Linked DNA regions of Rattus norvegicus. The protein of the gene in region 1 binds, or shares a complex with, the protein of each later gene. Links are inferred from orthologs where the notes say so. Each region holds a gene or a part of one and is shown in the gene's direction. Other genes may lie near its edges.

Evidence for each region.
Region 2: the proteins of Cd40 (region 1) and Cd40lg are in contact, whole or in part, in a crystal structure (PDB 3QD6), measured with the Homo sapiens proteins. The link is inferred for Rattus norvegicus from reciprocal best matches to the Homo sapiens genes CD40 and CD40LG. Residues at the interface, in NP_001241.1 of Homo sapiens: Glu64, Ser65, Glu66, His76, Cys77, Gln79, Tyr82, Asp84, Asn86, Leu87, Trp109, Cys119; in NP_000065.1 of Homo sapiens: Ile127, Glu129, Ala130, Lys143, Gly144, Tyr145, Tyr146, Cys178, Pro217, Cys218, Gln220, Ser245, Gln246, Ser248, His249, Gly250, Thr251, Gly252.

What each region holds. Positions count from the first base shown.
Region 1 is NC_086021.1:174,208,531-174,212,443, forward strand, and holds the start of Cd40 (tumor necrosis factor receptor superfamily member 5 precursor), read left to right. Parts: upstream 1-1,231; 5' UTR 1,232-1,256; coding exon 1,257-1,307; intron 1,308-1,393; exon of another isoform or gene 1,394-1,801; intron 1,802-3,913.
Region 2 is NC_086039.1:140,163,377-140,167,289, forward strand, and holds the start of Cd40lg (CD40 ligand), read left to right. Parts: upstream 1-964; 5' UTR 965-1,031; coding exon 1,032-1,187; intron 1,188-3,070; coding exon 3,071-3,202; intron 3,203-3,913. UniProt on the Homo sapiens protein: Cytokine that acts as a ligand to CD40/TNFRSF5. Costimulates T-cell proliferation and cytokine production.

The sequences.
Region 1 (3,913 bases):
GATCAGAACCCAAGCCACCCTAGCTGCAGAGCAGATGTGAACCCTGGTTCAAGAATGGGGGCAGTGGGGGCTGGGGATTTAGCTCAGTGGTAGAGCGCTTGCCTAGGAAGCGCAAGGCCCTGGGTTCGGTCCCCAGCTCCGAAAAAAAAAAAAACCAAAAAAAAAAAAAAAAAGAATGGGGGCAGTGGAGTGTGGAGGTGTGGGGTGAAGACAGTACTAAAGGTTCCTACGTGGTGGAGGGAGATGACTAAATCCCTTATAATGTTCTCTGACCGCCATACAGTCTAAGAGGGGAGGGGGGTGAGGAGGAGGAAGAGAGCAGGAGAAGGAAGAGAGGAGGAGGAGGGGGAGGGGAAAGGCGGAGGGGGAAGGAGGAGGAAGAGAAATATGAATGATGACTAGTGGGTGGTACTGGGGGAGGCGACACCCAGAGTAAAGTGCCTGCCACACAAGCATGAGGACCAGAGTTCAAATTCTTGTTCCTGACACCTCCCTACCCCGTACCCTCTCGTAACGTTAATGGGGAATAGGGAGTGTCTCTAGTCTTCTAAGGGTTCTCAAGGAGCCTCTGATCCTATGAAAGGCTGGTCCAGATGGTAAATGCCTGTCTCCAGACTCTGGATGGAGCCGGGATGGGATAGAAGTCCGTGGGGACACGTGAGTGGCACGCATGGATGAGAGGATGGGATGCTGCCCCTATTCGTGGGAATTTCCTTCTCAAGAAAGAGAAACTGAGTAGGGAACTCATTTCCTTGAATCGCCTCCTGGCCCTTCAACTGTGGTCTTTCCCGTTTTCTGAGTTTGCGGTGATGCTGGGGACTTCCTTAGACCTCTCTGGAGAGGCTTTCGGTTCTGCAGAGATTCCCGGGGGTATTGGGGTGGTGGGGAACCAAGAGCGTGGCGCTCCCATGTTCCTAAGTAATCCTTCTCCCCTCTGCTCCCTTGCAATCAAGAGAGTCTTTAGCCCTGCTGTAGGTGGCTTTTGAGGTCCTGGTGGAGTGGGGTGGAAAAAGGGCTCCTTTTGAGACCACTCCTCGTTCTGCCACCTTGGTGCCCATCCCTTAAACTCCTGTGGGCAATTAGACTCCCGGGAAGGTCCTGGGGAAATCCCTGCTCAGTGACTAGCCAAAGATCCACCGCGATTGGTTCCCGAAGACCCCGCCCCCTTCCTGGGCGGGACTCCTAGAAAGGACTCTGAAGTGACTTGTGGCCTCGTTGGGACCCCTGTGATCTGGCTGCTCTGATCTCGCTCTGCAATGCTGCCTTTGCCTCAGCTGTGCGCGCTCTGGGGCTGCTTGTTGACAGCGGTGAGTGGTTTCTGTTCTAACCTCCTAGGGGAGTTAGGTCTTTGAGAGTGAGAGATGGAAAGAGGCGACAAGACTTCGGAGATGAGCGATCTTCCTAGTTGATTTGGGAAAAGCGGGAAGCGGTGAATAGGATGGGCAAGATCTCTCGGGTCTTGACTAGAAAAAAAAATGAGGTAGACTACCCCACTTTCCGCCTAGAAGGTTGGGTTTCTGCTCCACACAGTCCACAGAGGGCGCTTAGGGAGGGCGTTCCTACACAGCGGTGCCCGGACTGCTTTATTTGATCCAAGCCTGGGCTCAGGAGCTGGCCACAGAGACTGGAAAGGGTTAGCAGACAGGAAAGCCTGGTTAGGGGAAGGGGCGGGTCTGGCCTGTTTCCTGTCACTTTCCCATTGTGGACAGATGTCTGCCACCAGTGGTTATCTTCTGCTTGCCAGTAAGGGCCACTTTCAACTAGAGAATCTTGTGGGAACAAGCCCCCAGGTACCTTTTCGGTAAGAAGTAATTTAATAACGACCATACCTGTATCCTAGTCAAGCCAATCTAGAGAAATCGCCAAGTTTGTGTCTCTGCCTCTTGAACTTAAGATAGTACAGGAGACACTGGGACAATAAGGAGGAAGGGGGGAGGATGCAGAGGAGGAGGGAGAGGAGGAGGAATAGCTTTAGAACCCAAGAAGAGAGAAAGAGACCAGACTGGGTTTCTCCAGGCACCAGAAGGGCTCAGACCCAGTCAAGCAATCAAGCACGTCTCGGGGATTTTCAGTCAGCACTCGATTCACTTTTGGTTTAAATGTGTTTCTGCAGTTCCTCATTCTGGAGTCTGGGAATCCCCTGATTACCTGAGTCTCATCCCCTCTCCTCTGTTGAGGCTCCCCTGGCTTTCTAGCACAGTAGATTCTTTTTGGTTGGAGACAGAGACTTGGGTTATTTCATGGGCTTTGAATTGTCTATGCAGGAAGTCGTCCTGTTTCAGGCCTGGTTTACTGCAGCTGGGATAGTCAGTGACCTAAGCGCATACTTGTCAATCCTCCAAGGTCGCCTATCCCGGGTTGGCCTCAAACTCCTGATCTAGTCGAGAATGACTTTTAGTTTTTCTTGTTTCTGTTCATGCGCGGGTTGTGTGTTTGCATGCATTTGTGTGGGAACACATGTGTGCTTGCATGTGGTGGCCTGAAGTTCATACTGTGAGTCATTCTTGGACACTCTCCCCCCCTTACTCATCGGGACAGGGTCTCGATCAAACCTAGAGCTCCCCATATGGTAAATCTCACTAGTCAGCCTGCACTGGGGATCCCCTGCTTCTGCTTCCTGAAGCTGGAGTTATTGGGGGGGGGCACTGCAAAGGCCTGGTGTTGCACATGTTTCTGGAGATCTGAATTCTGGCCCACACATTCACATGGCAAACACCTTACGAGCTCAGCCATCTCTCCTGTCCTTGAATCTCTGATCCGCCTGCCTCCACCTCCCCAGTGCTGGGACTACGGGCATGCACCACCATGCCCAGTTTTATGTGGCACTTACAATGGAACCTAGGCCTTCTTGTATGCTGGGCAGTCACTGTATCAACTGAGCTACATCCCCGGCCAGAGTAGACTCTGGCGTGTGGTCTGCCGAGGATTGATGTGGAGGTCGCCAACAGGAGAGGAACAAAAGTGAGAGACTCGCTTTCCTGGCTTTTACTTTTACCCTAAGCCAGTGGTTCTCAACCTGTGAGTCGTGACCCGGGGTGGAGTCTGAAGGACCCTTTCACAGAGGTCTTCTAATACTATCAGAAAACACCGATATTTGCATTATGGTCCAGGGCAGTAACAAAGTAACAATTATGAAGTAGCAATAAAAATAATTTTACAGTCCAGGGTCACCAGGACTTGAGGAACTGTGAAGGGCCACACCGTTAGCATGGTTGAGAAGCATTGCTCTAAGCAATGACTTTTAGGGAGACAGGATTCGGGAAGAGGGTGGAGTGCGTGAGAGAGAAGTGGATGAGGGCCTTTGGGAAGGATGGAGGAAGGAACAGGGGTGCGATGAAGGGGAGTCTGGACCACCTGAGAGCACAGTCTGCCCTCATAAGCCCCAATCTGGGCTCCAGGGAGGGGCTGGGCCCTGACAGAAATAACAGGTGCTCTTTACTGAGATCTTCCTGTGCATGGGGCTGTGAGCGAGACTGTGTATCGCCTTCATTTGAGTTCTCGCAACGTCTCTGTTACACAGATGACCAAACTGAGGCTCAGAAAGGGGAGGGGTTTTACCCAGTCTCTCGACGTCGATATGAATCTATGCCTGCCTGACTTCTGAGTTTGCCACTCACATGCAAGGGGTCTCCAAGCTGTGACCCTGAGACCTTTTGTGGGGGAAGGACCATTGCTTCAGGGCATGGAAGCTAGGGCTGACAAGCCATCAGAGGGAAGGTGTCTTTTTCAAAGATGCTATCGAGGATGTCCGCTGTTCTAGAAGGAGGGTAGGAAGTCTCCGGGAGTGCTTCCTGGGGATGATGCCCTGTAAGGGGCAGGCGCTGTCAGGGGCCTTTCATTAAGTGACTTACTGAGTGAGAGATCTCAATTTCCTGGATTCTGGACGGTCAGACAGTCACTAGGGTGCAGGACA
Region 2 (3,913 bases), on another chromosome or scaffold:
AAAACTATTAAAAATAGGGATAACTGTATATTGTATAAGATGCCTCCAAAGTCTTTTTCTTAAAATCTTTATTCTGTCTTCACCAAAACCAATGGGTTAGGCAAGACAGGTGGCTGCCCTTTGTGTAGGGGACCTAGAGAGGCAAAGTGAATCACTCAGGGTCCATAGGAACTTATTAGCACAGCAAGGACTAGAGTCCAGTTTCTCAGCCGAAGCCACACATCAGTAGCATATGACTGTGGAGACAGGGAATGCGGCCAAGTCAGGCTTATCATTCTCCTTTAGCTCCACTCCCCAAGCTTTTGTCTCATTTCCCAAACACTGTAGCTAGATTTGCTTTTCAGCAAAGGTTTTTTTTTTTGTCTGTTTTTTTTTTACACAAATTCTCTTTCTAGCTACATCTTATTTAATAAATGCAGAGCCCTATGTTTTTTGCTTTATGATATGTAGTTTTGACTAGCAAAGCTAGGAAGATTTTATTGAGTTTAGAGATTAAAGAATCAAAGTCTTGAGAAGCAATTAACAGGCAGCACACCAGGTGTGAAATCAATCCTTATTTTTGCTAACATCTGTCTATTTCTTTACCTTTATACCAGGTTCCAGATTTATGTTAGTAAGATTGAAATTGAAATAAGTTTATTACTTGTGGACTCATTTGTCACTTTCCTTGAAACTGGTGAACCCCAACATTTAGACAGCAATAGGAAAATACTGCCATTGTCTTTTAAGAAGTCTGACATTTCAAGGCAAGAATGAATGTATGGAAGAAGAAACTCGTTTCTTCTTTACTAACAAAAGGGAAAGCCTGGAAGTGGATGATATGGGTGTAATTTTAAAAAAAGAAAAGAAAAAACCTTTACGTAACTTTTTTGCTGGGACAGAAGACTACGAAGCACATTTTCCAGGAAGTGTGGGTTGCGACGATTGTGCGCTCTTAACTAATCCTGAGTAAGGTGGCCACTTTGACAGTCTTCTCATGCTGCCTCTGCCACCTTCTTGGTCAGAAGACACCATTTCAGCTTTCAGCCAGCATGATAGAAACATACAGCCAACCTTCTCCCAGATCTGTGGCTACTGGGCTTCCAGCGAGCATGAAGATTTTTATGTATTTACTTACTGTTTTTCTTATCACCCAGATGATTGGGTCGGTGCTTTTTGCTGTGTATCTTCATAGAAGATTGGATAAGGTAAGGTGATCTACAAATCTGAATGAACTAAATTGGGGGGTTCTTACTAATTTGTGGATAGGTTGAGCTAAGTTCTACCCAAATGATGGAGAACAGTAAACCCTTTAAGTGGATTATATTCTTGTGGCATGTTACTTGTTGCCTAGATCTCAGAATCTGAAATCAGTCAGCCTGGCTTCGAATTTTAGTTTGGCTTTTAACTGCATTGAGATTCTGGACACGTCACTTCATACTTCCATTGCTTTTTCTGTATCAGGGAAATAGAGGTAGACTTAGTGCCCATGCCACAGAGCAAAAGATTCTAGCCCCGAAAAGAATAGTGCCTGGCCCAGGGTAGTACATGCTGGACCACCAGCAGCAGTTAGTTCCTAAAAGGTGCTTCCTTAGTAAACTATTTTCTCCCACAAAGATAACTTTAAATGAGCCCCACGAGGACAACTTTTAAAAGTGAGCCAGAGAAAAAGAGCATTGATTTGATCTGAATTTCCACTGTGTTTTGAATTAGTACAGACACGGACAATGCCCCCAATCTGCCAATTTTTAAAGTCAGAATGGTGCAGTCTGTCCCACTCTTCAATGCCAACTGCCATTGTAAACTGCTCTGTACTCCTCTGAGGTATTTTACGTGCTTAAATGATTGGATAGATAAAGACAAGAGAGGACAAGAAGGGTGCAGACAATTTAAGAAAAGTAACTTCAGGATTTACCCTGCTCCCTTGTGCTGGTTCATATCCACTGAGGGGCATATGGGCTATGTTATGAAATGCTAATCACAGATGACTAGGAGAAAAGCAACCAAGTATCTAGTTGTTCCTACAAGGCTGGAAGTGACAGTGGCTAGGTACCAACAAATGGGTAGCAGTCTTCTCTCTGGGGCACTGGCTGCCCGTTTTTTGAGATGAGGGCCTAAATGAAGGCCCTAAAGTTTCTATCAATATAAGAAGAGGTAGCGACGGTAATGAGAGTGGAGATAATCTGCTTGCCTGCTCAACTGGATTTCACAGAGGAACAAAGAGACAAGTTGGGTATCTGATTGTTCGTTTATTCATCTGTGACCTGCTGGGCTTCATCAAATGCCTGTATAGAGATAGGCCTTGAGGATAATGGGGAACTTGTAGCCCACACAGACTCAAATGTGCTGTAATATTTAAGTGAACTTTAAATGACAGTTTCGTGCTGTAGTTCAGAAGGGTCTGGAGCTCAGTACATATACCAGACTGGCTTTTAACTCACAGGCACACTCCTGCCTCATCCTACAAGTATAGAGTTTACACATGTCCTACTATACCCAGATTGGTTCTTGTTTGGAAAGTTAAGAATCTGCACTTAAGACACGAAGACGTTGTATGGAATTCGTTGACAACATGAGTTAATGGCATATATTAAATTACTCAAGTATTTAAAAACAAAGTATCGCATTCACTTTGTTGAGGAGAGATAATTTTTTTTAAAATGCAAATGCTTTCTACAAGTTCTGAAGAAATGAGAGGTGTAACTATAAATTCATGCTGTGAGCGAACTCCTTTGTACTGGGCCACGTTATAAACACTACCATGAAAAGGGAAAACTACTCAGCAGCAAACTACTTTATGGCTGGCGGGGAAAAATGACAGTTATAGGACATTGCTGTTGTGGTAGGCTGAGATGAAAAAGTCATTAGAATAGCTGTGATTTCTATCCAGACGCACAGGTAATATGACATCAGAATCACCGGCTTTTTAGCTGCTTAAATGGCAAGTACCGAACAGCAGGAATCCAGCACAATAACTTCTAATATTCCCCCATTCCCCCTCTGTCAGTGCCGTGGAAGCGAGTGTGAAGGCAGGCGTGATTAGCTGCATTCTTCTTCATTATGGTTCTCATCAGCCTTTCTTTCAAAACAGGTAGAGGAGGAAGCAAGCCTTCACGAGGATTTTGTATTCGTAAAAAAGCTAAAGAGGTGCAACAAAGGAGAAGGGTCCTTATCCTTGCTCAACTGTGAGGAGATGAGAAGGCAATTTGAAGACCTTGTCAAGGTAAGGTGCTCAGTGCCTGGCGGATTTCACCGAGAAGTTTTAGTACATTTCCCAGTTGTGCAAACTGAGTTCTGACCCTGCAAAGGTTTAAACTGTAAGCCGGGATAGTGGTCACAGCTTCGATCTCAGTGCCCAAGAGGCCAAAGTCAAAGGAAAAACTTCCAGGCCAGCTTGGTCTACAGAGTGAGACATTATCAAAATGTGTTGTATATAAACATGCTTGTGCACATATATACATGCACACGCATATGTGTAGGTGTGGAAATGTGTATATACAAAAAGAAAGAAACGAACACAAAGCCTTAGGCTAAAAAGCAGAGCAGGGCTGAGTTGGACATGTGCAACCAAAAAGGTTTTCATTCCATGTACAGAAAATATATAATCAGTTAACAGAGTAAAGAGCTCAGGAGCTTACTTCGTCTGTAAATTCATGACACACATGGAAGTCACAGGACAACTTGCGAGTCTCACGTCTTTCCTTCCACTGTGTGAGTCCTGCAGGTTGAACTCACACCTTTAGGCTTGGCCTTTACCCGCCAAGCCAACTTCATTGTCCTCTTCAGACCTTACTTATTTCGGAACTTAATATGCATTCTCCTGTATGGAAGAAGATTCTAAAAGCTCATTCCTAAGTCACTTACTGGGATCAGACTTCAGTTCAAATATGCCACTGGTTTTTAAGTTTTTTAAATTAAGCTAGAATGTATTTAT